Drosophila melanogaster: one gene and its partner. The protein of the gene in region 2 interacts with the protein of the main gene of each other region in a pairwise test. Each region holds a gene or a part of one and is shown on either strand. Other genes may lie near its edges. The genes, in order: CG9316 and SkpF.

Evidence for each region.
Region 1: the proteins of SkpF (region 2) and CG9316 interact in a two-hybrid assay, tested with the Drosophila melanogaster proteins (one large-scale study listed by BioGRID).

The regions. Positions count from the first base shown.
Region 1 is NT_033779.5:20,724,695-20,728,624, forward strand, and holds the start of CG9316 (uncharacterized protein), read right to left. Parts: upstream 1,858-3,930; 5' UTR 1,763-1,857; coding exon 1,168-1,762; intron 1,113-1,167; coding exon 412-1,112; intron 354-411; coding exon 303-353; 3' UTR 278-302; intron 218-277; 3' UTR 1-217. Other genes in the region: CarT (carcinine transporter), read right to left, coding at 2,925-3,198, 3,274-3,672, 3,735-3,930.
Region 2 is NT_033778.4:23,457,510-23,460,702, forward strand, and holds SkpF (SKP1-related F), read right to left. Parts: upstream 1,251-3,193; 5' UTR 1,178-1,250; coding exon 662-1,177; 3' UTR 556-661; downstream 1-555. Other genes in the region: CG43795 (uncharacterized protein), read left to right, coding at 1-356.

The DNA of each region.
Region 1 (3,930 bases), on a different chromosome or scaffold from region 2:
TGTCTTAGCTATCCGCGCTCCAAGGCCATCGAATGTTCCACTCACGGAAGAAGTGCCCACCACGTCTATTCCCTAATCCAGAAATCACAGCTACGGTTCCTTATGGCAAAAATAATACTTGCACTCCTTTTAAACTGATTTTTATTAATAGAAATCAAATTTGATTGGTTTTGGGCAGTGTCTCTCTTGATATTTGATGTTCAATAAGAAATGATTCCTTGGCAACACAAAATTTGATCAAATTATTGCAACAATTCATAGACATTTATTTTCTTACCATTTTCCATTCGAGTGGTGTCGTTTTAAATAAAATTAACCTTTAGACGATTCAAGGAATTCACGTAATCCGGATGCTGCAAAATATGAAAGTGTTAGTATATGCTTTCGAAACTCCCGCCCCGGTTTTCCCACCGTCAATATAGGCCGCCTGATCATGGTTCCCTTTACATTGAGCACCACATCACGACCTGATCCCTTCGAGCAGAATCCAATGGCCTGGATCACAAACTCCTCGGTGATCTGCTCGCAATCGGTCAAATCAATAACTTTCAACTGGGGACACTTCCGCAACATCCTCATCATCCCCACGTCCATCACCCGACCGCACGCGGTCAGACCAAATCGCTCCAGCTGGCTGAGATCGTTGAAGAACTTGAAGTGATCGTCGTCCAGGATATCGTTGTTGCTGAACCGCAGATCCGTGAGGCTACTCAACTGTCCCAGGCACCTGGCGTGCTCATTGGTGATATTGAACTGACCGGATAGGTGCAGATGGGTGAGCTTGTTTCCTCGTTTCTCTGCCAGAACCGTAAGGAACCCAATATTCAGCTCGTTGGAGGTCATCCAGGTTTTCAGTGTACAGCGCTCCAGCTTGGGCAGGTTGGCGATTACCTCGAAGTTGGTGTCGCAGCCGGAGAAGATCAGTTCCACCAAGTTCGTGCAGCTCTCGGCGATTTTCTGGTACAAGCTCACATTCATAACCTCGAAACAACAGTCGTCGAGATCCAAAGTGTGCAACGACTTAAGCGGAATTCCAAACTCCATCGAGTTCCATAGCAGACAGTCTCGAAGGACCAAAGTTTTGAGATTGGGAAAACCGCAGAGATTTTGGCCTGTTGCGAAAATAAAGTCCCGCAAACGCATAAATAGAGTGCAGTGCATACCTACCTGTATAGCAACCATTAACCAGTTCAAAAAACTCCAGCTCCTGGTTGGGCTGCATATCAAAGTTGAGCACATCCTCTGCATCCAAACACTCAATAGTCACCCGTTTCAAGTGCGTCATTTTGGACATAATCGATCGGTAGTGAAACTCATCGGTGGCGTTCGAGTAACTAATCTCCTCCAGATTGGGGCAGTATTCCTTTACGAACTCCACCAGCAGGGACTCCTTTTGGTAGGACGCACAGTCCACTTGAAGGACTCTGATGAAGGGTCCCGCCACCTTGAAGAACCTGATCAATTGCGGCAGAGGCACCGTCTCCAGACTAACCATGTCCAAAGCATTTCGTTGCACTCTCGCCCAGCCCTCGAAGGCCGCTCGGAACTTGGGCGCCACACAGGCCAGCAGAACCTTATCGGTAATCCTGGGCAGAAACTCGAGAACCAGTCGGATGATGTCCTCCGGCAGATCAAGCAGACTGGTCCTGCATAATGGCGATGGCGATGGCGATGGCTCACTTTTTTGGACTCCACCCGGGCGATTGGAGCGAACTGGGAATGGAGTCTTCACTGATCTCGAATGCGTTTTCGCCTTAGGCATTTTTTGGATTATTTGCTTGTACGTAAATTTAGATTAATTCATTTTTGACACTGCCCAGATGTTATGATAGGAAATAAGGGAAAATCAAGCTCGACCTTGTGTAACCGGGTAAATATTAGAGTCCTGATACCGTAATTCAAGATCCAAATCTAAATACTCCAGAGATCTATAGGGAAAAAGACTAGGACAAAGGACCATCTTAACGAATCTTTGGATTTGGAACTGCGTACTGAACTTAAGTAGCAATATTAAGAAACTACATTTTTGCTTGCAAGATCTCCTTGGTGTCAACATATTTGTGATCTGATCCAGCATTATGAATTCCCATGGGTCCAGGCACTTCCTACGGTTGACAGTGACCGCCAGCAGTTTACGGTCGACAGGTGGGGGCAATTTCGCGCATTCCTCTATTATTCACCGCATGAGCAAGTTTTCTTTTTGTTTGACAACAATTAATTGCATAATTGTCTGAATAAATGCATAAATCAATTACCGGTGATTGAGAAGTCGCCATACGATATACGCTACACGTACTTATTTATTTATTTATTTTTACCGGATATGTTTGAAGAATTAAGTTTCGGTTTTTGTTTACAAAGCTTTTGTAATTCACAAAAGCAAACAACTTAGGCATAATGGCAATGCCCTATAATTAATGGAAAAGTAATGGAAAAGGAAAAGAAAACTGGTATTTAAAGGAGGAAATTGTTATAGATTTAATTTTAAGCAGTTAAAGTATGCTGCTCTATTTGCTCATAGCAAATACTTCTAAAACACGGAATCAAAAGCGTTTACTTAGAGAACTATTATTTAAATTATAAATAAATTAGTAAGCAATTAAATAGTGCTGTTATATGTTAAGTAACTTGTTGAAACATTAATTTCGTTATTTTTCATACAATGACAATTGCTAACATTGTGCTGCAAAAATGGTAAGTTTTTATGATTAATTATATTTGTATGTTTGTTTTTAAAGAAGTCTCTGCCCATAGTTCTATATTTAAAAAGATATCCCTTAGCGTTAAGCAATAGATTAGTAAATAGTTTATATGCAATCATTTTAAACTTTAGCGAAAACAAAGAATAGCCTTGCAGTTTATCTAATTAATTTTAAGAAATCTCTTCTAGATGTGACAATACATTAGATTTGTCGCTACAAATCTTAGATCCAATGAGTCAACTGCATGGTGCCATCATGCGTCCTCTGGGTGTCCATGACGCTCATTTGGCGCACTAATCGCTTCATCGAGGGCCGATGAACAGGTCGCCCACTTCCACTGGCCGTTGTGTCCAGGGGCGTACGCTCGTCAATGCGGGGAGCCGGCTCCCGAACCCGTCGACTGTCCCGCAGCTCCAATTCCACCTCAGAAGCATTGGTGGAGGATCCAGCCAGGACATCCAGGTTCTCGTACGACGCAGGTTGAGATAAAATCTCTCTGCAAAAAGTAAGCACAATATATATTAAATTAGTTTTATACCCGCCTTGGTCACCACATGCACATTGAACTCACGGCTTTTGAGCGCATCTACAGCAATCTTTGAACTGCCAGTTCTTGCCAAACTCCTCGCCCTCCTCGATGGTCTGCGGCAAGCGATGATGCAGTGTTTCCGGCAGCCGCAATCCCGTCATGCCGCCCAGCATCGAAAGGAAGCCCATGATGACCAAGGGCAGTTTAAGATTGTCCTTTCCCAAGTAGGTAATAAAAGGTATGCCAATGAGACCCAATCCTCCAATATAACTGGAAGCACCAATGCCGATACCCCGAACCTGAGTGGGATAAAGTTCCCCGGCAAAGGGGTATATGATCAGGAAGGAGGCGGATAGCAAGGCTTTGGATACTAGATACAGCACAAGGGTCTCATCCACGGCATCATCGGGCAACATTACAGTGATCACACAGGCCACGCCACTGAAAAATGTTGGACTTCGAATTTTACACAAAAAACACAAGATGATGGGTCAAACACCTACCCCAATATCATTGATAAGCTCAATGGCCATCTTCTGCCCCAGGTATCCATGAAGTACCAGCAGCACAAATAGCTCGGCAGCTCCACAACAGCCGACAGAAAGAAGCTGACATACTGATTGGTGCCCAGCGCTGGTCCGTAATAACTGAGTCCCAGATAAACCGTCTCATTGGCAAACCAACTCAGCGTGATTAGGA
Region 2 (3,193 bases):
GACTCCGATTCCGAGGCGGGACTGGACACCTCCGAGGTCACCATGGACGACGGCTATCCGCCGGATGCGCAAGTCGATGACAAGACCAAGCAGCTGGTCATTGGCGATGTGGAGGAGGATTCCGGCGACAACATGGAGTCCAACCAGTTTACCGCCGACGTGATTAACGCGCGGGACAGCAAGATCGATCTGGTGTCCAAGTTCCTGCAGTATATCGAGCAGCAGCATCTGATGGGCTCCAACTGCGTGGCTGGTACTTCGCTCAATCTGGGCGAGGGCGTGGTCGACCGGTATGCTCAGGACAGGTTCCGGGTGGAGGCCGAGGTGGCCGTCAATCGCGCCAATATGCTGACCAGGTGAGTGGATGTCACGGACAAAGTTTTCCGAGTTACTCAGCCCACATCATATTCACATGCCAAACTTTTCCAATCGAAAGTTTTCGGCCAGACGGTTGGCGAATGCAAGTGAAAATGGAAATGGAAATGGAATCCGTACTGAACAATTGCGGTCAAGAAAGTAGTGTGCTTTCCCTGAAGGTCATTCGAGGGTCAAGATACATATGAAGGATATTTATGTGATATTTTGTGAGCATAGGTAAGGATGTCGAGTTACATTCTAATCCGGAACAGGCATCAATCCTTCGAAAATGTTCACTTCGAATTTATATAATTTCGCCGTACTCTATCGCCTCGTCCTCCTGCGGGACTTCCGACTCCATCGTCATCAAATCCTCCTCGGAGGGCGAGAAATCGTTGGTTATGTGAAAGGTCTGGCGAATCTCCTCCGTCGTGCGGCCTTTAATCATGTTGGCCACCGTCATGCAGGCGGCGTTCAGCAGATTGGGAATGTCCAGGTAGTTGGCCGCCAAGATGAGTTCGAAGAGCGTGCCCTGATCCATGGACAGGAACTCGGCGTCCCAGGGGGTGATCTGCACAGCGACGGACTTGGCCGCTTCCTCTTCGTTCTCCTCTGCAATGTCCTCGCGATGATGCTTGGCCCAAATGAGGACCTTCTTCAGGATCGTCGAGTTCACATTGGGCAGCGGGATAAGAGTGTCGTTCTCCGCTTCCACTGGACAATCCTCCAATAGGGTCTTAATGGTGCTCGAGCACTTGGCAGTCTCGATGTCGGTCTCGAAAATTTCGCCATCGGAGGACTGCAATTTGATGACTGGCATGGTCCGTTTTCGCCCACAAAGGGTTTTCCTTTAAGGTTATCTGGTACAGTTCAACTTTTCAAGAAAATCTGTCAGTGCCAACTTGACAGTTAAAAATTAAACAGAACAGATTCGTAATGGAAACAAATTGGTGATTCATCAAATTCAAACAAATGTCCATGGAATGGAGATAGCATTTATTAACAATTTAGACAACATTTTTATTTCAATATAACGAGCAAAATCGATTAGATATTGGCAGAAATACACAATTTTAGTTTCATAACATATTTATTGTTGTATAAGTAATAGTTGATTGCCGCTTACAATGGTATTTACCATGTTCTACACAATGGACATTTCAATTGCAGCACAATTTATTGCTGTTTGTTATAACAGAAAAATATGAAATATTTAGGGCCCATTTCGAATACGGAAATAAAAACAAAACCAGGGATTTGGCCTCCATTTTCCCTTTTCAATTCACCATCGCTCATTGCTCGGGGTTCACTTTGCAGCAGATACTCGCCATTTTCTGCTCATCTAGATTGGCCCGTGTCCTTTGTCAACAAGGAGCATAATGTGCTTTTCTTGTTGCGGTGGCTCTCGTCGCTTGTTGGCCATAGTTGGCAGAACTACCATCGCTTTCCCTGCGATTTTCCTTCGATTTTTCCGTCCGCCTGGCTGCGTGCAATTTTTTGATAAAAGTTCAATTACTTAGCGTGGCAGGCGTGCCGAGCAAAAAGTTTGCACCATTCTTGTGGCCAAAACGGAAGGCCAGCTGGCGGAGGACATTGATTTACCTGGACAACCAAAGCGATGGCAATTCATTTGGTTTTTCTTGGAATTTCCAGCTGTCCAGGCTGGCCAAACGGAGCAAGCTGACCAATCTGATGTGTGTGCTCATTGTTTACTCGTGTCCATTCCGCTTCCATCATCGATTTGGCAGTGTATCGTGTATCAGGATAACCGCCCCAGTGACAATCCCAAGGACATGCCAGCCCAGCTCCCATGTTTTCTGAGCTCTTCTTTTCTTCGGCAGCTCTCTCTCTCTCTGTTCAGCAGCCAGGCACAATAAACACAAAGTTTCTTCAGATTTCGCATATCTGGGTATGAAGTCCGAGCACCAAAGTTACGGACTCCAAAGTCCTGTGTGTTCCAATGTCCAAAGTCCAAAGTCCAAGTGTACGAATGTCCTTGCCTGCATGCACGCATCGTATGTGTCAATGCCGATGGGGATGTGCTCCGTGCAGACATTAGACCTGGAATTTATGTCCTTCTGTTTTTCTTGAGTGTCTTTGTGGCAAATAGCAATAGAGAAATCAGCAAAAAAGCAAACTTTTTCTGAGCCAAAACGAGGGCAACGTGGGTGTGTGGCTGGCTTCGTGCAACAGGCCATTGGATATCGTCCAACCGTCGATGGTCACCAAATTCCGATGACATAATTTTCCAGCTTAGATGACAACTTTTTGTGCGCTGATTGAGCCAGGAAATCAAAGCCATTTGTTAACGAAAAACTCATTTGTTAAAAGCCGCACAGAAAGGACGACAGGACTACAAGCTGATGAATCCAAGGAACGATTGCCGCTTGTCAATAAAACGCACAAATAAACAATTAACCCAAACGACTAGCAGCTCGACAAATTAAGTGACAGAGGGGAAAGGTCGGTCGATAGCGAGGAAAGGCGGGAAAAGGAGAGAAAAATGGGAAATGCGGACAATGTCGTAACTTGGCCTGGGGAGCAATAAAATGTCAAAGACTCACTGTCAATAAATTAAATTGCAAACGGCCACGGATCTGGCACGGGATCAACATTATTGCATTTAGTGTCATATGCCAGGCATTTGTTTTCATTATTTGTTCAGCGGGGAATGTGGCCTCTGGGACTGAACTCCACTTCCTTGATTTATCCAGCTCGACATCCATAAATCCAATGGATTGCCCAGATACTGGTTCATAATTGCAGGAGGGATGGCGGCTAATCAGGACCCGTATTAATCAGTTTTCCTTGTGTTAACATAATCAAGGATGGCCGG